Coturnix japonica: one gene and its partners. The protein of the gene in region 5 binds, or shares a complex with, the protein of the main gene of each other region. Links are inferred from orthologs where the notes say so. Each region holds a gene or a part of one and is shown on either strand. Other genes may lie near its edges. The genes, in order: ZNF831, RBL2, THAP1, WDR5, OGT, KANSL1 and KANSL3.

Region 1 (4,198 bases), on a different chromosome or scaffold from region 5:
TTATGTGCACTGTGTGCTCTGTGATAACAGTTTTGGTCAGATACACATTGTGTATTATGCATAAGTCCTTTAAATTGCAACTTTCATGACAGTTTGAAAGAGTAGCAACAAAATGCAATGCTTGAAGCAGTATCTTTGACAGGGTCCCATTGCTCACGTTGTATCTCATGGGCACTGTGCAGTGACTTTGTCAGCTGTAGCACTTCTGTAGCAATCGTCGTTTCTGCCATGGTATCATCAGCCACTGAGCTGCAGATAAAGTGGCATCTGAAATGTCTGAATGCACCTCGTCCCCCTCTGAGGACTAATCCACATGAACAATTATTGTGTAATAATTCTATCAGTTATCACAAATAGCCACATTTACACGTGTGAACTCTGAAGTTTAAATGTACAGAACTTGATTGCCTACAGAGCTCCCATTTGACCAAAGGAACACTTAGAATATGGTGCTTCACGTGATGTATTTCCCCACAGAACACAGCTCTATAAATTGACAGTCTCTTAAAGCAAGTATTAAAAATTTGGAAGTATTTGATCATAACAAAAAAAATGGAAAGCAGGATTAATGAGGGCATTCCAGTAAATAGGAGGGCTAAATATTACCCTAATAGCAGTAATGAATAATGGCTACTGATGTTAATGTGGCACTTTTGTATGTTTTTGCTAGACAGCAAGAACTGCCACCCTGAACACGAGTGTGATCCTCACGTATGTCAGGCCAAAAAAAAAGAAAGAAGTCCAGGAGAAAAGAACTTGAAGACAAAAATGTGCTTGAACAGCAAAAGGGAGAAACACTTTCATTAGGAGCAAACGTGGTTCTGCTTGCCAAAGAAATGCCAGTACAGGGAAAAGAACTAAAACACAAGGCATAAGTAATAGATCCCATAGGGAAGAGAGTCAAGGGCTGCTGAGAAAACACTGAGGCAATCATGACCAAAGTGTAGCTGGTTATGCATGCAACCAAAGTGTTTCACTAAGGACTGAATTTCTGCTTTAAAGTGCTCGTGTGCTTTTCATACCTCAGCAGCAGGGCTGTGCATGTAGGCACTCACCTGAGGAAAGGTGCATATGTATACAGGATAGTCGTAGCCTCAAGCTGTCTCCCATTAAAAGTTACAGACATTTTCTTTTTCTATAGCATTATATTTAATGTGCTTTAGGTAAGGTTGTAAGTGCTGAATCATCGTACAGAGTTGACTTGGGGCTCCACTTCATTTATACTTTTTAGTATTAATTCAGCATGAGCAGTTCTGGCAAATGACTGATTTATGCATTAATTCATAAGGATATTTCACAAACATCCCCCCCCCCCCCCCACAAACAAAACTTAATACTGAGAGAAACAACAGGCCAGCAAGTTGAGAATTGGTCCTAACGTACCTGGAGATAAGGTGGGAATGAAGGGAGCTTCATTTACTCCTCCATGCTCAAGTCATTCTTTTCCTGATAGCTGAAAGGATAAAAAGTGGAGGACGTTAATGCTGCATCTTCTATGAAATAAATGTTTTGCAGGAGGAGTATGAAGAATCTTTCCAGGTTTTTTAGATTGCTGCAGTAATGAGCTATAGTGTTTTCAGGCATATCATAAAAATGAGTAATTACAATTATGATGCATTTAAAAGCCATGTAGCTTTCAGAGGAACAGTTGCTTCGACTCAGAAAGTCAGGAAGGTTAGTTTTTTTTTACATATGCACAGACTACTCATACCAATTCCTCCATCTGTTTCTTGTTTGTCATAGAAAACAGATAACTTCAGAACTGCTGATGATATTCAGAAATGTTCTAAAAACCAACAGCTACATTAACTTAAACGTACTTTGCACAAAACAAGACTGGAATTTGACAGGGTCGTTCATCACGTAAATCAACTTTCGGATCAATGTCATAAACAATAAAGGAAAACATCAGTAACTGGAACTGTAGAAGCACATCACTGATTCCATGCCAGTACCACTCACATGGCTAAATCCATGTTCCACACCATTCTGCCAACTCAACTATATTTTTTTCTTATTTTCTCCATAAGCTTTTATGTAGTTGTGTTTTTTCTCAACACGTTGTCAAGGAAGCCCTACATTCTTGTAGCTCAGTATCCAACTCTTTATTGCTATAAACACAGCACGATGTAGGATTTTGGACTGATTGATGTACTTTCCAGTATGAAGAGATTCTTCTATAAGTTCAACAGGTTCAGAGAAAGATTTAAAGATTTGTTCCTACCAAGATATCAGGGTTTGCCAATTAACTTGACCTCTTATTTACCTCTGTCACAATTCCTCTCGCATTTTGTTGTCTTTGAGCAATTCTGAATTCCTCTAACAAAAATACTTTGAATTGTGTGAGAGGCTGCCAGCTAATGTTTCAGTGGTGATAATAAGGTTGAACACTACTTGTGTCCTTTCCCGTGCCATAAACTTACCTTTATCATTTTTACATGCCTTCTTGCTGGGATAGGAGGTACTATATGTGCTCAGAATTTACGACGCACTCCAAAGAACAACTATTCTTCAGCTCTCTGATGAGAGTCAGTGTCTGCTCAGCCCAGGGCTAGTTCTCTCTAGAGTGCAGCAGTCACATCCACACTGCACGGCACTTGATCTGTCTCAGGTTTGGCGCTTACTGCTGACGTGACGTGACCACTGTCCAAGTAGTTCTTTCATGGTTGTGTCTTCCTGGCAGAGCGCTTTCACCTTTCCAAGTGGTGTATGTTATTGGAACGGACGTGAATTTCGTATGTGTATCATGGTTAAAAGTATTCCTGTCATTATCTCCTTTGGGTTTCATGGAGCTATGCTTTCCTTCTGTTGTCAAGGAAACACCAGTTTTTTCCCCCCTTGCTCATTAATGTCTGCGTTTTTGTTTCCATAGCTACAAAGGATCCTTAGTGTTTTAAAATAGCAGTAATTGGATTACCTTAATTTTTTTAATTTGTTGGCACCATTAATGGCTCCAATTTTCAACAGCAGGTACCAAAACTGGATCAGTGGTTTTTCAGCTACTGATGTTGAGTGTCCCCTTGTCCTGAAATACTGGGTATGTGCTGAGAGAAATCCTCAGCATCCAACCTCAGGCTCTACACATGGTACACTGGTTTAAGTCATTGAATTCTCAATCTCTTGTTGTATTCAAATATAGTTTTCTACATGTACTAATAAGGTATATGCAAAACTGCAGAGATTTTGCTTATTTCTTCTCTTGTTACTAGTTGCTTAATATTCCCTCAATAACTATGTTGAAATGCGACCATTATTGTTTAATTAAAGTTTCCCTCACCATGTCTGTACCTAATGACCATCTATCTGGAATTGGCTGAATTTCCCAAAACCTGTTTGGCACAAAATACGAGCTGAAATTACTGAAAATAGTCTTTTCTTTGCTCTGATTTCTGATAGGAGCCTTCTGATATAAGTTCTATGCTGAATTTTCTAGGCATGAACCCCAGCATTTCACATATTCCTGAACCTTTGTATATTTGACTTTCCTTTCCTTTTTCCTTTTCCTTTTTCCTTTTCCTTTTTCCTTTTCCTTTTTCCTTTTCCTCTTCCTTTTCCTTTTCTTTCCTCTTCCCTTCCCTTTCCTTTTTTTTTTTTTTTTTTTTTTTTTAAATAAGAACACAAGCTAAAGAGGGTCTCCAGCCTAAAAGTAGTTACAAGCAAGCTGTAAGGAAAATGTGACAGAAAGGAGCTAGATGCTGATCACTATAAACAGGGAATTCCCATTAACTTAAAATACTAGTTCCTGCTTTTCATCATGGATTTTCTTGCATCCTTGAGGCAAAGAAACAGTATTACCATAGAAACAGTATCCCGTGTCATTGTGGGCCTTTCTGGTGCTGTGTGCTGTTATGGAAACAGACATCTTAACTGCTGTCCATGTGTTATCTATTTCAATCATTGTGTTTGTAAAGATATGTTATTAAACTATAATTTCAGGATCCATTTTAATAACAATGAAGTCTCTGAAGTCTTCAGCAATTTACAAAGCACCTCAAGGCTTCCCCATGTTAAAAACAGCATTAAAACAAAATGTACAGTAACAGTGCTCTCACAGCAGTTACAGGCCTGTCCAAATTTCTATCGTGTCCAGCCCTCCAATCACTTGTAAAACTACTTTGGGTAAGCAGATCCTTAACCTATATGATCTGTGAAGGGACACGTCCTTCCTGCATGTGTACGTGGAAATGAAAGGCAGAAA
Region 2 (3,498 bases), on a different chromosome or scaffold from region 5:
CAGTTCCAGGAGCAAGGTAGGCAGACAGCACCCAGACTGCACTGAAGAAACAAACCCTTTCCTCCAGCAGTTGGCTGTTACCTGTCCTGCTACTGCTGGGAGTCAGTTAATGAAAAATGGACTGCAAATGTTTGAGCTTCAATCAGTACCTGACTTAAGCAGCATTTTAAAAACACTTGTAAAAGTAATTCTTGTAATTCTGATTTCTGTAAAGAATATTTCAGAAATAGGAAGAGAAGCTTCACTATTTAAGACTATGACTTAACAGAGGCAAGAATAGTAATTTTTTTTAGAGTGAGTAGTTAATGAAGCGCTGCCCCGTTACCTGACACCCTGAATGTCAATGTCTGGCTGAGGTTCTTGTGATTAAGTACATCATGAGCCTCGCAGAACCCAGCTATGTGCTATTTTGGTGTTTGTGCCATCAGATCAGCCCGAGCCTTTGACAGATGCACACTGGGTGTAGCTTTTGCTCTTATGAAGCTTTTTTTCCACACAAGCCTTATTATGAGTTCTTTATTGAAAAATACACTTGCAGTGTTTCATACAAATTAATGGAAATGGTACAGAATAACAGAATTGTCTGACAAGTTCATAAATATTTTTACAGAAACATCTACACCGCTGCTCCACTTCAGCCCTTCTTACACAGGTAAGAACTGAAGATGCTTTTATTTTACCTTAATTGATTTTACTGTGGAATTAAGTCTCAAATCTTTCCATTATTCAAAGGAGCAGGAATGAATGAGAACGTGGAGCTTTTAAGTTCTGCTTCCTTACAAAACCTTCTGGCATCCGTGTGTGCTAAATTTTACAAGTACAACAGCATTGTCCCCAGTTGTCATTAAAGATGAGTCAACTGGCACAGGGCAGTAGTTATTAGGAAAGGTCTAAGCATACCAACAGGGCTGGTATTGTAGAATTGATTAAAATTTAAACAATTAGTATGTCTAATTAATATACGCACTGCTTTCTTATACCATTAGCAGGGGAGAGATTTCTCCCAGGCAGCCTGATTCTGTCCATTAAAAAAAAAAACCCAGAACCTCTTCCTTTGTCCTTTATAACCACTCAGAAGCACAGTGTGCACCTTGAGGAGACTGAGGCCACCTTCCTTCTACTGAGGAAGGGAGGTTCCTGGTTCTGACTCTCAAGCAGAACCAGCTGAAGAAACAACAGAGGTGTATAAAATTCCTTGACCAAAGCCCACGTCCCTGGCCTCCTGCATTTGTTACTGCATGCACATAACGTTAAAATGAATTCTTAATGCCATTTGCTGAAGAAGGGGAGCTATGGGATGTCACGTTGAAAATAAATACAAGAATTGGATTGTTTCCGTGAAGAAAAAAGGCTGAAGTCAGCCTTTAAAAAGATATTCACATTTAGAAAGTGCCATTGCAAATATACAGCAACACTAATCTGCCTTAAAAACGATGCTTCACAGCCCTATCCAAAGTGCCACCTTTTGAACACGAGTTCACCTTAGAACATTGCACAGCTAAAAATGATGCGTGAATGGAGTTAGCTACTTCTATACAACAAGGTGCCCAAATGTTAAAGCAAAACAACGTGATGGATTTGGGGGCACACAAAGCATCCTGAATACAAAAAGAATCCATTCAGACAGCTTCCTTCAGCGCTCAAAAAGCTTATTCCTATCTTCCCTTTCCAAGCAGAAAAGGCTGGATGTTGCCAGACTATTGCTTATAAATCATTCTTTTTATGGCAGTACTTAATGTTTTATTTTTTCCTTTTTTTTTTTCCCCCAGAGGACACATTTGACTATGAGTGCCTTGGTACAACGCTCCCATGTTTGATACATATACAACTTCCTATTCCAAAGCTGAAAATGGTCAAGCATTGATGAAAACACTGTAAGTACACTGGTTGAGCAGATGGATTTAAATACCTGTTACAAGGCAGAAAGCTGTATGAGGGATACATTCTCCAAGCAATACAAAGCTTTGAACTGCCTTCTGAAGCCAAAGCCAGCAGGTAGATCACTTGCCTTCTGATCAGCTTTACAACAGACAGAGTGGAACTGCAGGGTTCAGAACGCATCCTCCCCATCCCCTGGCACTGGGGAAGCTCTGGCAGGCAGAGACTCTGTACAGCCCAGCAGGGACTGGTCAGCATGGCCTGGCAGGAGGAGCCTGATGCCTGTGCGGTCCTGCTGAGTCCGTGGGATGCTCTGAGCTGGCAGCCTGGCACAGCAGCACAGAGGTCCTACCTGTGCTGAGCCCCAGCCCTCAGTGGGACCCTCGGTCGTTGGCTACATCTTGCAGGCGGCGTAACAGAGCAGTGTGGTTTTCCTGACAGATCCGCTTCGCTGGCGCTTCACTGTCATCTTCTAAGAGAATGCCTCTCTTCTTTGTTGGAGTTTCTCCTGTTCTAATCATGCTGTTAATTTCCTTTAGCCTCTGGGGAGAGGTGGAAAAAACAATCTCATTATTGTAGCAACCAAAAAAGTGATGTTTTTGCTTGTCCCGTTACTGCAGGCTTACAAATGCCTTATTTTTGGAGCTGTGCACTGTACAGTGCTTTCTGTAACAAACTAACCCTTTTGACCATTGTACTGGTCCCACTACTGGAGTCTTTATCAAGGCTTCTGTGTAAGATTTTTGATGCTCTGCTGGTGCACATGGAGCTGGAAGGCCTTCCTGCTGTAGTTATGACATGTTATCCTACACCACAGGTACAGAATTCCTATCCTGAGTGAAGACATTGCGTGGAGAAGGCTTCTACTTAATGGTGGATGACTGGAGGTCATGGGATTCAGTCTGTTCCATGTTCGCTTGGTGAGTCTTTTTGTGCTAAGAGACCTTTTGCCTCACTACGTAGATAAGAGGGAATGACTACTTCATGTTTGACTCTTAGGGCCTTCATGCCACACATCCCATTATGTAGTGTCACTGATGTACCTTCTGGCTCTTTCATATGTACCATTATCAAGAATAGCTTTTAAAAGTACACAAGTACCTTGGATACCTCACTGCTCTCCAGCTTCTTAGATCTGTAGACTGACAAGCTGGAGACAGTCTGGTGACAGAGTACAACTTTAACAGTGTACACTAAAAGGAGTGTTGAGCAGTCTTTTCTAGTCTAACACATCCCAACAGAAAGGGCAGAACTAAGGATTTATAAAACCAAACTAAACGCCTTTAGTTCTTACCTTGGATGGGCTGCTGCTGAAATAATAGAATATTTTCTCTCGATGAGAGGGAGCAGGCACATTTTTGTGTGGCGAGATGTACACCGGGTGGTTCTGAGACAGCTGGACTCGGCGAGGAGAGCTGATTCTCACAAAGGGGTAGGGAGAGAGCGGAGGAGAATCTGTCTGCTCAGGAGGAAAAAGAAAACACTCAGCTGCAACGTAATCTCAGTGAGCCACCTGTAGTACAGTTGATGTAAGCTGGTCATCTTAAACATAGTGTAGATCTTTTTTTTCCTCCACTACAGCCATAGCTTTCCTTAGAACACGGCAGGATTTGTCATACA
Region 3 (4,216 bases), on a different chromosome or scaffold from region 5:
CCGCCCTGGATGAGCAGCTGCTCCAGGTCGGCGGCCGGCGGCAGCTTCAGCAACGGCAGCTCCGCCGCCGAGCCCAGCGCGGCCTCCGGTCCGCCGCGGTTCGCCGCCGCCCCGGCGCCGGCCCCCGCCGAGCCCTGCGCCGAGCCCGGGGGCGGCGGGGGAGCGGCGGAGGGCGGCAGCAGGCGCAGGGCGGCCGCGCTGCCGCGGGCGCTGCCGGGCGGGCGCAGGGCGAAGGGCCCGGGCAGCGGCGAGGGGGCGGCGGGCGGCAGGTCGCGCTTCTTCCCGGCTCCCAGCAGTAGCTTCGGGCCCGCCGCCGCCTCGGCGCCGGGTCCTGCGGTGGCGGTGGCGGCGAAACCCGGCAGCGGCACGAAGTCGGGCAGCAGCTCCAGCCCTTCCTCGGGGTAGAACGGCGCCTCCATCTTCACGGCGGCTCTCCCGCTCCGCCCGCCGCTCATGCTGCCGGCCGGCCGGGGCGCGGCGCGGCGCGGCGCTCCCCGGTGCCCGCCCTGCGGCGGCGGCGGCTGTGTGTCGCGGCGCGGCTGCGTTCGGCGGGGGCCCGCAACCCTCGGCTCTCAGCGGGGACTGAGCCGCCTCCCGGCGCCACCGGCCCCACGCCCCGCCCCGGTCCCGCCGTCTGCCCGCCCCAACGCCGCCGCCTCCCCCGAGCTCCCCGCCGCCGGCCCCCGGCTCAGAGGGGCTGCGCGGGGCTCCGCGAGGGGCCGCGCTCCGAATTCGGCGCTCGCTTATAGACCGGCTTATTGCCCTTCTCTCCATCCTGTGTCTCTGAGGGGTTCCGGACCCCATCCTGGAGCTGCTTCGCGCGGCTCCTGCCCTTTGCTCCCGCTGTGGGTGCGCCATAGGGCGCTGCCCGCACCCCTGCTCCCGACACCAGCGCCCGCTGCCCGCCCCGCACGGGACAGCGAGATCGGGACATGGGGCGCTCCGGGGGAACGGCCCGCTGCTGTTAGTCGCTGGTGTAATACAGGGAATGGTACGGCGGAGCGCACTCCGCGTTAACTTTTTGTACTCCATCGCGTCGGTGTATTGTTAGCTCACCCTAACACCTCAGCAGGGCCCAGCAGCCCACACACACCCGCACCCCATCCCGCCCTGGGGGCGCTCTGCCGCCGCGCCGCAGCTGCCCCTGAGGTAGTTCCGGAGCGAGGGGCGGGAGCAAGGCAGAGCGCCGCTCCGATTGGACGATCTGCTTCCCGAGGCCCCGCCCCCCATGAGAGGACCCACCAATGGGCAAGGGCGGCGCGCCGTAGCACCGCGAGAGTTGCTCTGAAGCTGGTGCCGCCATCTTGGAGTTGGGAGAGGCCGCGTCCCGTTGCCGTCCCTCTCGGAGGGTCACCGGCGGGGGGGGACGGGGCACGATGGCGGCCCCACGGTGAGCGGACGGCACCTGGGAGCCCCTCCTCGCGCCGCTGGGCGGCGGCGGCCGCGGGGCCGGCGGGATGGTGCAGTCGTGTTCTGCCTACCGCTGCCGGAACCGATACGACAAAGAGAAGCCCATCTCCTTCCACAAGTGAGCGCGGGCGGCGGGACGGGGTGGGGCGGGGCGGGGCGGGGCGGGCAGGGCGCCAGGGCGGGGACAGGGCCGCGGGTGTGCGACCTCCCGACGCAAGGGGGCGCTGGGCGGCGGGAGAGGGGCTGGGATGGTGGGCCCGGCGTGAATAAAGAGTTTGAGAAACGCTGAAAATAGCTGTTGTTGTCAGGTTTCCTTTGACCAGGCCTGACCTGTGCAAGAAATGGGAGGCGGCGGTGAAAAGGAAAAACTTCAAACCCACCAAGTACAGCAGCATCTGCTCCGAGCACTTCACGCCCGACTGCTTCAAGCGGGAGTGCAACAACAAGCTGCTGAAAGAAAATGCTGTGCCCACTATATTCTGTTACACTGAGCCCAGTGAAAAGGTAAGCGCACACTGCTCACAGCCCCAGGTGCCGAAATGCACTGTGCAGCTTCTCCTGTCATTAAGGCCATTTGTCATCACTGCAGTTGTGTTACTGGTGCTGTCCTGTTGTAACAACTGCAGGCTGACATTTGTATCTGGGTGTTAACTGCACTGGGTAGGGCTTTGATTGTTCACAATCAGACCATCCCAAAAATATGACAGATAATACAAGGCCCTGGGACTTTTCAGGACTGATGGCCCATTCTTTCTCCTGTAAATCAGAAGACAGTGCTTGCTGTGTTCTTTATTGCAGATAGAGTTGCAGAGGCTAGTATTAAATCATCAGCATAATGTTATAGCTTCACATCAGGTGTCTTGTTCTAGTTAGCCAGGTCCAGAGCTATTAAGTCATGGCTACAGGTAGGACTATCCAGATGCCCCTGTGAAAGAACCCAAAAAGTCCAGCCTCCTACAAAATAGCATTAACTGCAAAATTGTGTTATAATTCAGAGCACCATCTGCTAGCCACTTTTCTTGATCTTCCAGAGTATGTGTTGGCCACCACTGACAATATATAAAACTAGTGCCTGTCTGTTGAATATTGAACATATTTAGGCAGTTTACTTGTGTTCCAGAGCTAACATAAACCCTTTCTCATGCTCAGGGCATCATCTGTATTTTTCCACACAGTATACAATGTTCGATTTAATGCAGAAATAAAGAAGGAACATCTAGAAAATGAAAAGTGGAAATAATAGGCAAGAGACCATACATAGCACAAGGTATAAAGTGAAATGTGGACCATTTTCAGGTCTGCTTTTTGTGCTAAGATCTGTTTGATGACGGTTCCCCACAATCTTAGCAACATATTTCCTATGTCACTTAAAATTGTTTGCAAAACTTATTGCAGTGTGAAAGCTGAAGGTATTTAATATTGACATCAATGCAGTAGTTCTGAGCCACATTCTCTCATTCATTGCAGTACCTGGCTTTATGAGTGCACAGAACAGTGGCTCCTTATGGAAAAGGAGTTGGTGGTGCTACTATTTATGTCACAGCAGCTTTCAGTGTATCTTCAAGACATTGAATAGTAGTGAATAAGGACAGCATTTTTTTTAAATTCATACTGATTTTGAGATACAGCATTTTTTGCATCATAATTCTTGAAATACTTTTTTAGCTATGTCTGACAACCATTTACTGGATGTAAGAAGGAATAAGAACTCACTTGTGACGTGTGAGCAGTATGAACGATGAGCTCTCTGTGACACACAGTGACAGCAGTAACACAGCATGTGCTGCGTAGCTCTTGAATACATGCCTCTGTCTGAATGCAGCTGTCTGGCAACAATGCCATTTTTGCTCGTGCTTCTAACATGGGCAGAATTCTCTCTGCACATTATGTCTTTGGTTTGTCATCTTAGCTGAAAAGTTTGAAAGCTGTAGGTCAGACATTTTAGAATATTGGTATGTGATTTAGATGGACACACCTGGAGCATCCACTTCTTATAACTGAGAACTGACACAGGCAGTGGGCTGGTTTTGTACTTTAAAGTGATCAGTAATACCTGAGCAATGTGAAACTTCCCCTCAGTACCAGAAGTGGAACTGTGTTCTCAGTTCCTGTGCCTAATGTAGTTTGTACAAGGATGACATCTGTACTTCCCAATCTGACTGTTGACTTGTTCTTTATGTTAAGGCAAGAAGCTTAATAATGTGATCTTCCAGTCTCAAGAGGGGACAGTTGGTGGCTGTTAAAATTGAAGATGCGATCATCTTCATGCTTTTATTTGTAGTAATAATGTTGGGGACAGGGAATTAAAAAATCGGTTTCAGTGTCTCTTTCACTGAGACATTCTTAGGCTTTTGGGTTTTTTTTGGTTTTTTTTTTGTTTTTTTTTTTTTAAACGGGTAGTATACATTATGTGTGCATTTCTGAATAAAGTATGTTCCTCTGGGGCAGAATAATCAGAATTCTCTTTGACCTCCTCCCAAGTGATGACAGGTATGCATTGTTCTGAACCGTGCAAGTGTCTGAACCTATCTGGAGCAGTATGGTGAAGCCTGCAGTATGATGTGGGAATGAGCTCGCTTAGTGTTCTGCTCTATCCCATCTGCCAGCCACCCAGTCCTATTTTCTTACTCCTTCCATATGACAGCTCTCACTGCATGGCTTTGACTTTAATGCAGGACAGAACTTTATTGCAGCGATGGTGGAAGTGTGAATAGCTTTCTGTCATCTTAGCAACATCCTGTATTTAGGGAAGGATTCATAACAGAGCTGGGAGAGCTGTTTATTTTGGCTCATCACATCACCAAAC
Region 4 (4,256 bases), on a different chromosome or scaffold from region 5:
CTTCTCCATCCAGTCAGTTAAGACAAGTAGTTCTACAAGGCCCGTATTTGCATTCTGTTGATGTAAGAAAGCAATACTTACAGGAGCTGGCTAACCACTCTCCATTAGGACTAAACTTTACAGATGATACCGCCTTCGTATGTCCCGCTAACGTGAACTTTAGAGCATAATTTGGTTTCACTGGTGCAGGCTGGAAGAAAAATACATATGAATGAGTTGAATAAATTCCCAATTTAGTTTCTCAGTGACAAGCTCAGTATCAGACGAGATCAGCACACATGAATACATACATTCACCTGAACAGATTCTACCATTTACATTCTCTCCCCCCACCAAATTCAACAAGCCCCCACTGGAGCCAGAAGCACATTACAGCCACGTGCCACCAAACTCATCCTGATCTGAATTCCCTTCAAGCCTGCAACTAACAGATGACAGTAACACAACAGTTCGAGCACAGAGTGTTTTGAGATTAAAATAAAACCTCTGGTGATGGTTTTATACTCTGTGTATAGTACTATGAAATGCCTGTAGTTCTATTCCTTGCTCAGAAGCAACCACAAGCCAACTCCCCCAGGCCCCTTAAAACTCTATTTCAACCAAATAATCAACCTAGCACTAAGCTGTACTCAGCCTGCTTTTCCCCTACAACCTTCAGCACACTTCCCTCTCCATACAACAGCAGAGGCAGACGTATTAAGAAGTTCTTAATGCATACTTGATTCAGTTCTCTAATTGCTGTTTGCCTGGTGCACGTGCAGGTATGCACCATGTGCATTTACGCAGGCATTGTTCAGAGCTCCCCACACACACCTTGCTCTGATTGGTTGAGGAGGAAGGAGTCGATTGTGTTTTGGTGGATTCTGCATCTGGTTTCTTTTCTTCTGTTGCCATGGTTCTGAAGCCGGCAAATGAGACCTACGGTGCTTGAAGGGGGAGAATGAACGTGCTGCTTCACAAGGCAGCCCTTGCCACGGGGAGAGGAACAGCGCTGCTAGAAACAAAACCCTGGAAGAAAAAGCAAACAATCACATTAACCATCAAAGAAGGATCAGAGGCAGCTAAAGGAACAAGATCAGCTTAACTGCAGGTCTGCAGAAAACATGATGAGGAAACATATTGTACGCCTGCTCAGCAACATGCCATTTTATGCCTACAGGTCTATTAGTGGTCTATCAAGAACCCAAATACAAGACTTTGATCAGCTCCTGCACAGCGTTTTTTGCTGTGTTTTGTACCAATCACTACAAATAAAGCAGAGTAGCTCTTAGAGGCAGTGGGTTTATCTTATATTCCTTGAAACATCTGTACAACACAGCAAATACAACACCTTATATATAAGGCATTTCCAAAGCTTAAAACCACACCAGGTTTGTTTTATTTTTCCATTTCCTATTTCAAGTACTTTGGTCTAATACCTTCCCCCTAAATGCTGTGAGCACCATATCCCTGCTTGAGAGATCCCCCTGCCTAACAGCAGCCCTGCATTAACCTCACCAGATCTGCTTTCTGTAGCAAAACCTGAGCAGTGCTGTGCTGTACCCTGCAATCAGGGCTGATGCTGCAGAGGGAACAATCACGCTGCAGTTCAGCTTCATTTCAGCAGTGTAACAGAATAACCCGCAGCTCACATTGTAAGGATTTACAAATCCTTTGCTATTTGCAATATCCCATCCCAAGCACAATCCATTTTGCTTGTGGCAGCAAATCCAAGAGGAACAGCATTGACTTTTCAAGCCACGATGCACATCTTGTCCTCAGGAGGGCACAGAGCTCAGTGCCACCAGTTGCAAGCTTTACAAGCACAGTACAGACTCCTTACTTACTGTTAATACCAGCAACTCCAGCTCTATAATCCAGATCTAATGCATTTCAACCTGAACTTATATGGGAACTTGAGCAAGCAACACAGCTTACCCCTTGCACCTCCTCATACAAACCTGAGCAGCAGCACATGGCAAGCTTCAAAGGGCCCTGGCTGCAAACACCCCTTTCTCACCACACCCAGGGGGGAAGCTCGTGTAAACTCAGCTTGTAAGCAAGAAACTTCCCGAAGGCTTTAGAAGCAGCAGCAGCCTGCAGGAATACACAGCCTGCAAGGATACACAGCCTGCAAGGATACACAGCCACGTGTGTGCACGTACATAGGGCGTGCACACATCCACAGGGCTGCACGCTCTACAGCGAGGCGTGGAGCAGCACAGAGCAATGGAGCTGCAGAGCAAAGCAATGGAGCTGCAGGGCAAAGCAATGGAGCTGCAGGGCAAAGCAATGGAGCTGCAGGGCAAAGCAATGGAGCTGCAGGGCAAAGCAATGGAGCTGCAGGGCAAAGCAACGGAGCTGCAGGGCAAAGCAAGGGAGCTGCAGGGCAAAGCAATGGAGCTGCAGGGCAAAGCAACGGAGCTGCAGGGCAANCTGCAGGGCAAAGCAACGGAGCTGCAGGGCAAAGCAAGGGAGCTGCAGGGCAAAGCAATGGAGCTGCAGGGCAAAGCAACGGAGCTGCAGAGCAATGCAATGCACACACAGAGCAATGCAATGCACATACAGAGCAATGCAAGGCCGCACGCGGCCCCCTCTCGCCTCAGAGTGAGGGCGGTGGGGGAGGGAGGAGAGGCGGCTCCCCACACGAAGCCGGAGCTGAAGGAACCCATCCAGCCGGGCTCCATAGTGACTTACCGAGGGAAGGGGAAGGGCTGGGTGCACACCCGGCACCGCCGCCTCCTCCTCCTGCCTCGGGAGGGGCGGAGGGGGGACACGGCGGCGGCGGCAGCACCGGAGCCGCCAGGCGGGGAATGTGGCACTGCGCATGCGCGATGTAGGCCAAAGGCTGCACAATGCCGCTCTCTCCCATGAGCGCTACGGTGCGGCCAGAGGGACAAAAAGCATCAGTGGGGGCCGTGCGCCTTAAAGGGCCACGCGCTTCTTTTTTCAGCCTGCTTCCCGCCTTTGGAAATGGCTCTGTGCTGAAGGCCTCCATCCCTCAGGTGTGTGCTCGCTGCCCTGAGGAATGAAGGAACGAAAGCACTGAAAATTCATGCTTAACCCACAATATTGTGAGGAGACTGAGCTAATCCGTAAGGTAAACAGCACAGCAGGCCACGTAATGCTGTTATACCGAGGGTAGGTGTGCGGCCTAGCCCTGCCTAGGGATATATTTAGCTTCCATTTAGCTTGCATGCAGATTCTCCTCAAATTTCAGTGTTTTTCTGGAAAACAGTGGGTTTTTTTCCGAACTGCTTTCAGTGAGAGGGAAGAAAACCAAGAGACACGTGTTATGTGCTGGCCCTGTAACACAGGAAGATCTGCGGGCTCCAGAAATGCTGGTGGCTGCTGAGAAAGGAAAAAAGTGATGGTGTAATGAAGCCAAGGCCCTTCTCCAGCTTGGAAACCCATAGCTGAAGTCTGCAGCTTTAACCCTGCCCTTTACCATGGGGGGAAAATACAGGCATGGAACTGTGAGAGATGCTCCATCCATCCTATGCTGTTAGGGAATAAATCCAGTTCTTGCCTTGGTGTATAGTCTTCATTCTGGAAAGAAAAGAAGACTAAATACCACAAATCAGCAGGGTAATGCTATACATTCATGCAGCTTTCTTGTGATAAGGGTAGGTGTTGCTTTCACATAGGAGACAAGAGCCTGTATTTCTGTACTGTGCCTCCTCTCGTTGTGGAAGCTTTTTTTGCCTGATATTTCATATATATTAATCTATATCTATACTGAATGATACCTTTCTGGAACTGGAAACTATAGTTTCCAATACAAATGGTAATTGTAATCCTAAGCAACCCCTTAGCCTCTGAGTGTCCTGGATTTATCTTTAACAAATGTCATAAATAGAGAATCTGCACGGACAGCCTGTTGTCTTTGGATGAAATTGAACTTGTGGGTTATGAGTCATCTGTGAGGGTCCTTCTTGCTCCGCAGGCCATGCTGCCACAGCTGGGATCAGCAGGATGTGATCTCTGTCCAAATTCCCTCTCTGTGAAAGACTGGGCCTTGGCAGGCTTCTCTCTCACAAAGTCTTTCATTCCTTTTGGTTCCAAATAGCCTGAACTTGGTGATCTGCCAAGTACATTGGAAAAGACACCTGTCTGTGAGGCTTCTGGGGGGCGAGAAAAGCTTCCCGTAATGCTGAAAAGGAAAGAAAAGTCCATAAGTGTCTCAGATGATTGGGAAGTGACTGCTTTCAGTGCTGGTGTGAGCCCTCTGGATGTCTTTAAGAATGCCAGGAACAGACCCAAGGCCGCGGATTCTG
Region 5 (4,103 bases):
ATTCATGCTTAAGCAAAGCAAACATACAGCCAACATACGTGGGCTTACAGAGCTACCTTACATGTAGCTTCTCCTTGTTTAACCACCTCCCCTGTCCCCACTGCAGGTTCTACTGAGAAAGACAACCCAGCTCAATCAGCAGGATTCAAGTCTCCTCCTCAAACCTGAGCTCTACGTGGATTGAGAAACCATCACAAATACTCTGTTAAGCCTCTTCAAACATTTGCATGCTTTTTTCTATGCAGTGTTTCACTTACAGTCTTTCAGAAACAGAATACAGCAGACAAGCATAGGTTTAAAGTTCTGTCTTGCTCTCCTCTGTTTCATTTTCCCCCATCTAAATTATTACTACAGCTTCAATCAGAAGCCTACAGAGTAAATCCCAGTTACAAGTCATTACTTCCTTCACCAGCACAGACATTTAAAGTCCCAGAGGCTTGACAGACACAAGGTCAGGGAGAGGCAGGCAGAAGCAGCAGTGACAACTCTTAATTAAGCAATGCCATCTCACTGTAAACAATCAAACTCAGAACTTAAAGTATTAAACGCACACTGCAGGTGGAATACATGAAAGCTCCTTGTTTGCATGTGCAAATAACTCAGGGGCATGCAAGCATACAATACGAAAACGGCATGAGAGTAACAGCACTATCTGATGCTTGCTGCAAAGCTAGCAACTCCCACTTGTATTCCTCTTACCCTAAAAGAACTCAAGAAACAAGAACATTATTTCTGGCCAGTCATTACTGCTAGAATCAAGTCAGCATCTGCATTCAGTTCTAAAGCCAATGTCAGATAAGCACTTCTATTAACTGTGCTCGATACTATGAGGAGCACAAACTCCAAAAGAAGCTTGAACGCAACATCTCCATCCTACCTGTCCAATCTGCGACACTGGAAGTGAATAGACGATAGCAATAAAAGCACACCAGTATTATCAGGCTCTTGTCTCCAAAGCTGCATGCAGTGTCTCTCTGCTGCTTCAAAGTCTCCTGCCTGATACTCACGATGAGCCAACTCCGCTAACCCTTGGAAGGAAAGCATACGTTTCGTTGGTTCTGGAGAATCACCAAAACATTCAAGGGGGGAAAACAAAAAGTTAGAGAATGGAAACCAAACCAAAGAAACCAAACAGAAACTAAACGAAAATAAAACACCAACCAAAACCAAACCAAACCAAAAAAGAAACGGCGTATAAAACTAAAGGATGAAAACGATTGGGATGACACAAAACAACGCAGCAGGTGGAGGTTTGTGCTCTCACATCTTCAGGCCCCAAGCTGCTGCTGTGGGATTTCACCAGTTAACAGTTTAGAAACAAAAACAGCCATTACGGTTACACAACTTCATGTATTTTTCAAGTTAACGGAATGCAGTTAAGATAATCCTACTGTAAAGCAGTTACTTGGGCTCATACAGGCAGCAGAGCCAGACAATGAATTTCCTTGCCCCCTCCCCCCCATCCCCAGACCGGGCATGTAACACTTCCTAGCTCTGAAAAGCACTAAAAACCTCACAGGGAAATGCAGGACCACAGACACAAACTTCAAAGGACTCGAACTAAAGGAAGTTCTGCTGTGCCAGTAGATCCGTATCTTGTGAAAGCCCTTAAAGAAAAAGGCGTAATGCGCAGCGTTCCTTTAAATCTCCACTCCGCCGGCGTTATCTGCCACGCATAACAATTCCTCCATTGGCAAAGCGGCTGAATGCTATCTGATGGAAGAGCAGCGAGCTCCCGGGGCTGGGCTGCAACGGGGGGGGAGACAAACTACTTCCATCAAACACCGGGCTCAAACAAAACAACCCATGTGAGCACCCAGTCGTTACCGGACTGTTCTGCATTAGAATAGAGAAAGAGCAGCCCTTCAGGCGGTGCCTTTACACCACTCGGACCTGCTGTTAAAAGCCCTGAGTACTGCAAGCACCTCTTATTTTCCCCTCCTAAGCTCAGGGCAGGGAAGGGCAACGCTCCCAGCGCTCTGCGTGCACTGGGCCCCATTCGTCCAGCACTTCCTATCTGGCCCTACGGAATTCCACATCTCTGCTGTAACGAATCACACAATGGTTTGGGTTGGAAGGAGCCTTTAAGATCACGTAGTCCCAACCCTTTGCTATAGCAGGGACACCCCCCCCCCCTCTAGCCCGGGTTGCTCACAGCCCCATCCACCCAACCCGGCCCTGAGTGCTGCATGGCAGAGGGCGTTCACATCCTTGTCGGGCAACATGAACCAGTGTCTCCCCATCCTCACGGTCCAGCATTCCTGCCAGTTATCTACCCCTGTTCTAACGGAGCTGCATAGCGCCGGGCCGCAGTGCAGGCCGTGGAGCAGCGCTGACTGGGGGCTGTTAGCGGTGACCTTGGTGCTCCCGCAGCGCAGCGGCCCGGCCCCCAGCACAGCGCCCGTTCCCGTACCCACATCCCCACACCGCTCCGCTCCGCGCCGCCCCTTCCCCCCCGGCCGCCCCCGTGGCAGCGCCGTTTATTTCGGGCCCGTTGTCCGCCCTGCCCCGCTGCGGCTGACGGACAAATACAGCGCCTCCAACACGCGGCCCGGCCCGGGCCCACGCGGCCGCTTCTGGAAAGTTCCGCCGGGAGCGGCACCCGCGGAGCGCACCGAGCCCGGCGGTACCTGTGCTGTCGGCCACGTTCCCCACGGAGGTCGCCATCGGGACAGGGGCCGGCGGGGCGCCGGGCTGAGGAGGCGGAGAACGACAGAGCTGCCCGCGCTGCCGGCACGCTGAGGCGGCGGCTCCCGAAATGGCGCTGGCGGAGGCGGCGTCGATCGAATGGCTGCGGCCGGACCTACATCCCCGCGACAAATAGTCCGGGCGGAGCCAGCCCGCGGGGCGCCGAGCGGCGGAGTGATACAGCGGAACTACAGCCGTCTCCTTCCGCCGAGCGCCCCCTCCATGTGTATCACACGGAGCCGCAGCGCAGCTCTGTCAGCTGAGAGATCGCTCCGCGCCGACACATTGCGACAAACGCCGCCGCACTGCGCATGCGCCGCTGGTCGCCTCCACCGGCACGTGCAGCCCGGCCGTGCTGGGTCGGGGGGATGAAGGGGGGACTGGAATTAATTAGTATTTAGCATTAACACACGGGGCGGCTGCTCGCTGCAGGGGGCTGGAAGGCTAAGCTCACCTCCCAGCCATAAAGAACCGCTCTCTGAGCTATCATACAAAGCGCACGGTGCTTTATTCCGAGCAGCCTTCCTCTTCCCCAGACGGATCCAACAGAAACGATTTGACATCTGTTAAAATGAAGAACTAACAGTCTTCAGTGGGATTCCAGAGACAATAAAGGCCACCCCCCCACTGCGCACCGTGCCCTCAGTCTCGTGTTTTACAGCTGATTCAAACAATATTCACATCATATGCAACGCTGTATGAGCAGGCTGCTCCTCGTTAGCACAGTGTTAACGCAGCACCAGCGCTGCTCCTCGGATCCATGTGGGCCATCAGAAAGCACAGAGCTGAGAGCAGCTCATGCAGCAGTCAGTGCAGGGACAAGGAGCGCTCAGGAGGTCATTCATCCGAGTCCAGGTCACTGTCCCCTGCAATGGAGTGGAAATCCTCGCTGTCCTCCTCGTCCTCAGACAGGTGCACCTGGCTCAACACGCTCGGTCCACAACGCTGCTCTTCTTCTTCTTCCTCCTCCTCGGAGATCTCATACCCCCCGATGCTGCTGAAGCTCGTATCCCTTGTGTTGGACTTCGGGTCTGGCTCTTCGTAGCTGCCGTAACTAGGAAAAACAAACAAGTATGCTCATATTCTGTCACAGTGAGCTCCTGTAAAAGGTCCTTGAGATCCTTGAGGAACAACTCGGAACCACTGTGCGCTTCCATGCTGTCAGCTGTGTAAAGCAAAAACCCAGCTCTCCTGAACCAACACACTGCCAGCACCTTTGCTCTGTCCTGGATGTACTCAGGGCAGGAAAAGCAACTGATTGCTTCTATCTGCCTCCTTCACTGCAGATAGAAAGGCAGACGGTGCAACAACCACCATCAGAGCACAGCCCATCCACACAGCCAGTTGCTGAGGCACTGGGCTGGGCAGACCATTCACCCCACCCAGCACAGCCCCTCTTACAGGGAGGTTTTCAT
Region 6 (3,500 bases), on a different chromosome or scaffold from region 5:
CTGCCTCTTCCTGGAAATACATTCCACCGTCAGCAGCTGACACATCTGGGGAAGGATGGGCCAGGCTGAAAGGAGGCAGAAACACAAAGACAAAAGGCAAACAAACTGTGCTGCCCTTGTGATGGTCACAGCCACGGTGCAGAGCATCCAAGGACCGGCAGATGGCAACCGCGCCGAGCTCAGCACGGCTCACATCCTTCCACCAAGGTTATTACATCATCCCCAAACTCCCAGCTACAAATCACACCGAGCAGAAAAAGGAGAAGAGAGAAGGGACAGAGAACTTCAGAAGATGTTAAAGCTCCGCCGTGCACTCCACGCTGCTGCACCAAGTCTGTGCAGAGCTGGATTTACATCTGTGAGCACAAGGCTTTGACCCGACCCAAGCACGAGCAGCAGAACATCACCTTCCCCCCAGGAGCCATCCCCTTCCACTGGGAGACCTCTGCCCTGGCCTGCTGACAGCTCAGCTCTCCTGCAAGAGTGCCCACTCAGATCATCTGCACCTCGCTGTGGTCAGAGGGAAACGATGATGGGTGGAGAGCAGTACATGCAGCCAATAGGTTTTAGTCAGAGCAGCAGCAGCCTAATGGGAACGTCCCTTCCTCCTGTACCCTCTGACCCACTCGAGATCGTGGACAACTCCATACAAGGTCAAAGAAACATCCTGCAGCTTCCACCAATCCACAAGTGGTTTCATGCAGGTAAATAAGCTCTGCTGAGGTCTGTGACCACCAGTCACCATGCTCTGATGTTTGGATGGTGATGGAGTTGGATGCAAGGATCCTTATGGTCCCGTCCAACTCAGATTATGCTATTTATGACACCAGCACAGGACCCAGCACAGACTCTCAGGCCCCAGCCAACACTCTCTCTTCTGCTGCAGCAAATGCTCAGCTCCTAAAAGCACGTGCAGATGAAGAGCATGGTTTTAATTGCATCCATCACACCAGCACCTCCTCAGGGTGAAGGCTGCACAGCTCCTCAAGCCCCAGACACTCCCTGGTGTCCCATGTCAGCACCCAGCCCGACCCCCCAACCCCCTCCCCACAGCCCTGCTTTGCTGTGCTCACCATCAGGGAAGGACAGAACGGGATGGATGCAGGAGTCCAGCTGCGAGAGGCGCTCCAGCAGCGGCGCATCGTACTGCATCTCCAGCGCCGCGGAGCTGCGGGCACCACACAGAGCACACGAGGGGTTCACATCACAGCTGCACCGTGCCAGGCTGTTCCGGTGGACCTGGAGAAGGCCACAGAGAAGTTCAGCATCCCACAGGGCTCTCTTTGCATGCTGCCCTTTGATAGATCATCAAATAAACCCTGATCTTATAACACCCTGCAGCAAACCTGTTGATTCAGTCTGGACCTTACATCAACACAGCCGAGAACGACTGCTTGCCTGCACACAGCATCCCCTAGACTTGATTAAAAGTGTTTATCTGGGTTGAAAACCTCATTTACAAAACCATGAGACAGCACAATTCTGTTGTCAGGGAGGAAAAACACCTTCTAGTTCAGACAAGACAGGGAACCACCAGCCAAGAGCTGACACCTACAGCGAGTGAGAAGGTTTTCAGTCTTGGTCTCTAAACCAGGAGGGACTTTCAGTTCACAGACTTTATATAAACCTCCTCTGTATAAAAAACCATCGTGGTGCAGATGCACAACTGGATGTAAAACAGGCAGAGCCAGCAACCGATGAACCCCCCACTGAAATGGAAGGATCCATCGAATCAGATCCTGTGAAGTCTGTTGAGTCTGGTATTATTCAGATAATTTCCACTAATGACTCGAATGATGGAAGAGATAATATCCTTAAGCCTTAGCAAATAACAGTACAACTGGGAAGGGCTGCAAGCAGCTTGGAGGAGAGAGCTGGAATGAGAGAAGTGATGGAAAATGAACCAAATCCTGCTCAATGAGGGTAAAAGCACAGAAATACCCCCAGCGAACTGATTATTCCCACTTTTCAGCCAACTCAGCTGGCCCAGAATCTGTTTTGCTCAGCAGAATGTTTCTTTCTGAGCTCCTTTAAACCCTATCCCCCACAGAGCGAGAAACCCTGAAACTTTGTGGTAATTAAGTTTGACTTGAAACACTTGTGACTCAAACACAACTAAGTGGATTTGTGCCATCCATAGTTCTGCAATCCTAAGAAAAAAACAAAACCCCGTCCTTATTCTATTTCGAAGCATCTGTTCTCCAACTGACAGCTCGTGGCACTCCTGAAGGAAGTTAAGAAGGATGGAGCATGGTTTGTCCTCACATAGGATGCTCAGGGAATAAACAGAGCTGAATTCTGCATGTGGGAAAGGGACGGTGGGGAGGAGCAGAAAATAATGTATTAATAATGGGTCTGTGTTAATTCCTGTATTCAGTATCTGTGTTTCCCATACCTGCTTCACTCAGCTGCTCCCATTTTAGCAGGCTGAACCCCCTGTCCTGAAGCTTACCTTAGGATGGGTGGGTTATGAAAAGAACCCTCCCCTCTGTCAGAATCCAGTACTGATGACAGCTAACAGAAACCTGCAGCAAACCAAAAGCTTCTTCATTTCTCCTTTACTTCTCCCACAGCCCCTGGGCTGCTCTTCCTCCCCTCTCTGTAACCACAAACACTCCCAAAGAGCGGAGATGTCTTTGTGCAAAGCAGAGCAGACCAACCCATGGGGTGTGGGAGCTCCTTTGGTGCACAGCTGGTGCTACGTAGAGCAGAAAAAGAGAGTAAAGCACAAAGGAGCAGCACTCACCTTTTTGGACAGGGGCATAATGCTGCTGGGTCGAACCAGCCGTCGCTTCTTGCAGCTCAGCACCGGGCGCGTGCGGGCGGCCACACACGTCCCATCTGAAGCTGAAGAGACCACATTCAGCCGCTGCTTTTTATGCAAGAGCTCCTCAGCTTCCTGGCCATCTCCCTGAGCGTGTTCTGCCAGGCCAGGCTGAAGACTGGAGAGAACAACAAGGAGCAGAGCGTTATTCCTCTATCACTCACAGACACGGTCACACTTAAAGAGACATAAACTTCTGATCAACACTTGGGAACCATCCCTCCAATAGCCCTCAGCAACAAGTGCAATGTTCACCTTCCTGTTCCACACACCAAAGAGGTTCCTGCCCACATGCAGCATCCTTGCCCTGCTGTGGCACTGATGCATGATGCCACCTACTAAACACCAGCAGAGCTCCGCACCCACACAGCCTTTCCATGCCTATTTTATGAGTGTTTCACATCTAAAAATGCAAAACGTTCGAGCCCTGTGGCCTGATGCCCCATAGCTGACAGGCTGCAGGCACACAGAGGGCTGTACCACGGCCTGCAGTGCTCCAGCTGTAGCCATGAGCAGGTCCATGGGTATTTCTATGTGCTCACATTGCAGCATCCTGCCCAAGGTGTTTCTGCAGCCACTGCCAGAACCTCCACAAGCAGCACAAGGTTCAAACCCTGACACCATCCTCCAGCACTGGAGAACTGCTTTTGCTAGTTTGCATTCCTGCCCTTTTGAG
Region 7 (4,158 bases), on a different chromosome or scaffold from region 5:
GATCAGTTTGGTGTCCCAGTTCACACTAGCCAGTGCTTGGTGGACTCTCCGAGCACATTTGTCCACTGCTATCCTCCTCAGGACTGGTTCATTGCAAGCCTAGGATCCAGGACATTAAAGGAGAATAAAAACCATTATGGGAAAAGTCAAACATGCCCTGTTCACCCCAAACCACAGGAATGTATCAGCTCCAAGTACTCTGGCAGCAAGCAAGGGTCAACATCCCCTCAATAGGGACAAAATCACACCTCAGACAAGCCCAGAGTTCCCTGTTTCTTAAGGCCTTACAACCCAAAGGCCAGGACTTTCCTTGCTTTGCTAGGGAGGACTGAATAAAAACACACAACAACTCTGCTGGAAGGTAGAAGAGCAGCAGGGAATAAGAGCTCTTACCCCTTCGTTGGCCAAGCGAGCCAGCCTGTCAGACTGCAGTGCTTTGTGAATCTTGTTAAATAGTTTGTTCTGGGCCATCGTCCAGCCCGTCCTGGAGAGAAAACCAAAGGGGTAACGCTGCTCACAAACCCATCCCAGTCCTTCCAGCTGCCACATGCTCCCAAAGCAGGTAAACAGCCCCAAGCAGAAGCAACAGAACCCAAAAATAAGACCAAAACAATCACTCTCTTTAGCACAGGTTACCTCCCTACTCCTCCAAACCACCATTCCTCCTCATGTCAAGAGTTCAGATCGACTAACCATGCTTACAGGGAGGGTTTACAATGGTAGATCTGACTCACATCCTCTTATTTTTAACTTGACAGCATTGTATTATGGCTGAGATGGGGATCTGTGTGCCATCTAACAACAGTGTCCCGAGCCATTGCCATTCGTTACCTGTTCACATGTTCCTCCCAGTCATCTGGGGGTGGAGGGGCATCTGCATCCGTGCGAGCAAACATGACGTGCCTCTCACACTCGTTCATCACGCTGCGTGCCTTCTGGTTGTCATAGAGAGGCACCGGCGTGGCTGTCACCGTCTCGACATCAATGGGGACATCTGCTTCACTGCAAGGAAAAATCATGCTTCAGAGAGAGGGGATGATCGCTTTGTACTCCCACACCTCAGCCCCTCCATCATGTTGCAGCCCCCAGCCCCAGAAAACTGGTAATCACAGCCTGAACCTCTGATTAATCAGCTGAGACAAGTGTCAGGTCAGCTGTGGGAGCACAGGTGAGAGTAATTTAGCTCCTGGAAGGGTTGGAGCTTGACTCCACCTCCTCTAGACCTCATTTAAGGGCTGACCACCACTAAGGCAGCATCTCTTGGAGACTGCCTCAGCATTTCCCAGCAAAGGCATCCATATTGGTGAGTCTTTCCTTATAAATAACCTTTTGAATATCTGTTACCATCTTTGTATCATTCCACCTTACACCCACAGACCCCACAACCCGCTCCTGTGTGTCCCTGGTCCGCATCTCTCACACACCAGCCTGGCTCTGATTGGGATCCCTCCCAGGACCCTCCACATAGACCTCTATATGGCATCTGCACCCAAAACCCCTCACTTCCACCTCAAAAACAGCCCCAAAGCCTCCTTACAGACCCCTACATACCAACACAGATCCACCCCGCTCCCCAACCCCCTCAAAATGCCGCTCATTAAGAATCCCAGGACCCTCTTCAGAGTCTCTCAGACCCCCAAGTCACAAACTTTCACCTCACAATCCCCCAAACCCCACTCAGAGACCACCCCAGAACCCACCTCACAGAGACCTACAGACCCCTCAGACCCCCAGATCCTAACATTCACCTCACAAACCACCCCAGGCCCCATCCCACTGACCTCTAACAGCCCCTCAGCCCCCCAACCTGACACCTTCCATTCACAAACAACCCCACAGAGGCCTACAGCCCCCTCAGCCCCCCAGACCCCAAACCTTCTCCTCACAAACCACCCCAGACCCCCAACAGCCCCCAGACCCTCTATAGAGGCCCATTCTCGACCCCAAGACAACACTTTCCCCTCAGAAACCAACTCACAAAGGCCTACAGCCCCTCATAGACCCCTCAGCCCCCAAACCTTCTCTATAGAGGCCCATTCTCAACCCCAACACGACACTACCCCTTCAGAAACCACCCCAGAGGCCTACAGCCCCTCATAGAGCCCTCAGCCCCCCAGACCCCAAACCTCCTCCTCACAAACCACTCCGGACCCCTAACGGCCCCTCAGCCCCCAGACCCTCTATAGAGGCCCATTCTCGACCCCACAGAGGCCTACAGCCCCTCATAGACCCCTAACAGCCCCCAAACCTTCTCTATAGAGGTCCATTCTCGACCCAAACCAACACTTTCCCTTCAGAAACCCCCTCACAGAGGCCTACAGCCCCTCACAGCCCCCTCAGCCCCCCAGACCCCAAACCTCCTCCTCACAAACCACCCCAGACCCCTTACAGCCCCCAGACCCTCTCTAGAGGCCCATTCTCGACCCCATAGAACCCTACAGCCCCCCATAGACCCCATAGACCCCCATATCTCCTCACAAACCACCCCATATCCCCCCATATCCCCCCATATCCCCCCATATCCTCACAGTGCGGTGCCGGGCTGCCTCCTTGGGGTGAGGAACAGCATTCGGGCCGGTCGGGCGGCGCTGGCATCCGGGTGGGCGCTCCAAGGTTTGGCGTAGCTGTGATCCAAGCACACCAGGTCGAGCTCCCGCTCGTGAGCCGACAGCTGCAGCAGCAGCGAGGTGCCCATCCTCCTCGCCGACCATTGCAATTCACGATCTCGTTCCCCGCCGCGATGCGCCATGACACCCCCCCGACCCCGGCCGCCCCGCGGCGCGCAATGCGCATGCGCCGCCAGAGGGGGGGCGGGGGGAGCAAGGCGCATGCGCAGAAAGGAGAGGCGGAGGGAAGATGTGGAGAGTGGATTAGAGCGGAGCGGAGTGGGATGGGAGGAGACAAGAGGTGGAAGTGGATTATGGTGTGGGCGAGGAGATGCGTGGATGGGGGACACGTGGGGACAAATGGATGTGGGGACATGGGGACATGGGGGTGTATTGACATGAGACAGAAGGGTGTGGGACATGGGGATGTGGGATATGGGCACGTGGGGACATAGTGATGTGGACATGGGGACACACGGAATGGATAGGATTGAAAACAGACCTTAAAGATGGGTCATAAAGATGCCCACAGGGACGTGGGGACAAATGGGTGTGGGGACGTGGGGGTGTATTGACGTGAGACAGAAGGGTGTGGGACATGGGGACATAGGGATATGAGGACATGGGCATGTGGGATATGGGCACGTGGGGACATAGTGATGTGGACATGGGGACTTATGGAATGGATAGGATTGAAAATGGACCTTAAAGATGGGTCATAAAGATGCCCACATGGCCATGGGGCACAGGGACATAAGGAGGGACAGGGGGATGTGGGCACACTTATAGGGTGCAGTGACGAGTGGCACGTGGATATGGGGACACACAGATACGGGGGGTTGGTGATACATCACACAGACATAGGGACACATTATGGGGACAGCTGGACACAGCCACACGGTGACACAGCTCCTGGGTGACATGTGGGCATGTGCCCCCCCCTCAATGCATTCAGGAACGTGGCAGCACCGTGGTGACAACGCCATGGTGACACGGGGACACGGCCATGCTGCGGCTGCTGGTGGGCAGCGCTCACCTCCCGGCAGCCACCGGCGCAGGACCCGGTGTGCACGTTTATGCTCGATTCAGAGGTACTGATGGGGACAAGGGGGACAAGGGGATGCTGAGGTGGCTGTCCTTGCACTGTAGGGTGGCATCAGTCACCTTCATGTCATTGTCATGGGATGGGGTGGCACTGAGTGACCTTATGGGATGGGTCATGGGATGGGTCATGGGATGGGATGGGTCATGGGATGGGATATTAGTGGTTGCATATGGGAATGGCACATGGGGACATTGCCACCCTCACCAACCCTATGTGCTGCCCCCTGTCCCTCCAGGTGTCCCCAGGAGCACCCGAGTGGTGCCAGCAGAACGCAGTCCCACATGGAATGAGGTGAGGTGACCCGGAGGTGGCCGACAGCACCATGGGGGCACATGGCCACCCCACCGACCTCTGTCACCCACCCCACAGACACTGGTGTGGCCTTTGGCTGCGCGTCCCCTGCGCCCCACTGACAGCCTGGCCCTGCGCCTGCAGCTCTGGGGTCAG

What was found.
Region 1: the proteins of OGT (region 5) and ZNF831 are in contact, whole or in part, in a crystal structure (PDB 8FUF), measured with the Homo sapiens proteins. The link is inferred for Coturnix japonica from reciprocal best matches to the Homo sapiens genes OGT and ZNF831. Residues at the interface, in NP_858058.1 of Homo sapiens: Phe723, Ile734, Met779, Ile787, Ile790, Asn791, Arg792, Gly793, Leu808, Ala809, Thr831, Arg832, Ser833, Gln834, Tyr835, Gly836, Leu837, Pro838, Glu839, Arg877; in NP_001371283.1 of Homo sapiens: Phe937, Ser938, Pro939, Lys940, Tyr941, Leu942, Leu943, Arg944, Leu945, Pro946.
Region 2: the proteins of OGT (region 5) and RBL2 are in contact, whole or in part, in a crystal structure (PDB 4XI9), measured with the Homo sapiens proteins. The link is inferred for Coturnix japonica from reciprocal best matches to the Homo sapiens genes OGT and RBL2. Residues at the interface, in NP_858058.1 of Homo sapiens: His506, His508, His509, Asn567, His568, Pro569, Tyr642, Thr643, Lys644, Gln849, Phe878, Val905, Ala906; in NP_001310537.1 of Homo sapiens: Thr417, Pro418, Val419, Ser420, Thr421, Ala422.
Region 3: OGT (region 5) and THAP1 share a complex: the UniProt entries of both Homo sapiens proteins name them as parts of the THAP1/THAP3-HCFC1-OGT complex. The link is inferred for Coturnix japonica from reciprocal best matches to the Homo sapiens genes OGT and THAP1.
Region 4: OGT (region 5) and WDR5 share a complex: the UniProt entries of both Homo sapiens proteins name them as parts of the NSL complex. The link is inferred for Coturnix japonica from reciprocal best matches to the Homo sapiens genes OGT and WDR5.
Region 6: OGT (region 5) and KANSL1 share a complex: the UniProt entries of both Homo sapiens proteins name them as parts of the NSL complex. The link is inferred for Coturnix japonica from reciprocal best matches to the Homo sapiens genes OGT and KANSL1.
Region 7: OGT (region 5) and KANSL3 share a complex: the UniProt entries of both Homo sapiens proteins name them as parts of the NSL complex. The link is inferred for Coturnix japonica from reciprocal best matches to the Homo sapiens genes OGT and KANSL3.

Annotation. Positions count from the first base shown.
Region 1 is NC_029535.1:9,813,754-9,817,951, forward strand, and holds the start of ZNF831 (zinc finger protein 831), read right to left. Parts: upstream 2,801-4,198; 5' UTR 2,424-2,800; intron 1,454-2,423; 5' UTR 1,384-1,453; intron 1,245-1,383; exon of another isoform or gene 1-1,244.
Region 2 is NC_029526.1:4,008,850-4,012,347, forward strand, and holds the end of RBL2 (retinoblastoma-like protein 2), read right to left. Parts: intron 3,338-3,498; coding exon 3,173-3,337; intron 2,799-3,172; exon of another isoform or gene 2,696-2,798; intron 2,421-2,695; coding exon 2,250-2,420; 3' UTR 501-2,249; downstream 1-500. UniProt on the Homo sapiens protein: Key regulator of entry into cell division. Directly involved in heterochromatin formation by maintaining overall chromatin structure and, in particular, that of constitutive heterochromatin by stabilizing histone methylation.
Region 3 is NC_029547.1:47,539,757-47,543,972, reverse strand, and holds the start of THAP1 (THAP domain-containing protein 1), read left to right. Parts: upstream 1-1,416; 5' UTR 1,417-1,457; coding exon 1,458-1,528; intron 1,529-1,718; coding exon 1,719-1,914; intron 1,915-4,216. Other genes in the region: transcription factor jun-D-like, read right to left, coding at 1-455. UniProt on the Homo sapiens protein: DNA-binding transcription regulator that regulates endothelial cell proliferation and G1/S cell-cycle progression.
Region 4 is NC_029532.1:5,717,758-5,722,013, reverse strand, and holds the start of WDR5 (WD repeat-containing protein 5), read right to left. Parts: upstream 2,801-4,256; 5' UTR 2,677-2,800; intron 1,009-2,676; 5' UTR 895-1,008; coding exon 814-894; intron 191-813; coding exon 82-190; intron 1-81.
Region 5 is NC_029519.1:2,160,103-2,164,205, forward strand, and holds the start of OGT (UDP-N-acetylglucosamine--peptide N-acetylglucosaminyltransferase 110 kDa subunit), read right to left. Parts: upstream 2,801-4,103; 5' UTR 2,668-2,800; coding exon 2,631-2,667; intron 1,059-2,630; coding exon 878-1,058; intron 1-877. Other genes in the region: TAF1 (transcription initiation factor TFIID subunit 1), read right to left, coding at 3,526-3,742. UniProt on the Homo sapiens protein: Catalyzes the transfer of a single N-acetylglucosamine from UDP-GlcNAc to a serine or threonine residue in cytoplasmic and nuclear proteins resulting in their modification with a beta-linked N-acetylglucosamine (O-GlcNAc).
Region 6 is NC_029542.1:2,357,173-2,360,672, reverse strand, and holds part of KANSL1 (KAT8 regulatory NSL complex subunit 1), read right to left. Parts: intron 2,943-3,500; coding exon 2,747-2,942; intron 1,240-2,746; coding exon 1,074-1,239; intron 1-1,073. UniProt on the Homo sapiens protein: Non-catalytic component of the NSL histone acetyltransferase complex, a multiprotein complex that mediates histone H4 acetylation at 'Lys-5'- and 'Lys-8' (H4K5ac and H4K8ac) at transcription start sites and promotes transcription initiation.
Region 7 is NC_029537.1:1,115,180-1,119,337, reverse strand, and holds the start of KANSL3 (KAT8 regulatory NSL complex subunit 3), read right to left. Parts: upstream 2,801-4,158; 5' UTR 2,750-2,800; coding exon 2,529-2,749; intron 1,003-2,528; coding exon 832-1,002; intron 485-831; coding exon 394-484; intron 100-393; coding exon 1-99. Other genes in the region: FER1L5 (fer-1-like protein 5), read left to right, coding at 3,613-3,697, 3,947-4,002, 4,081-4,158. UniProt on the Homo sapiens protein: Non-catalytic component of the NSL histone acetyltransferase complex, a multiprotein complex that mediates histone H4 acetylation at 'Lys-5'- and 'Lys-8' (H4K5ac and H4K8ac) at transcription start sites and promotes transcription initiation.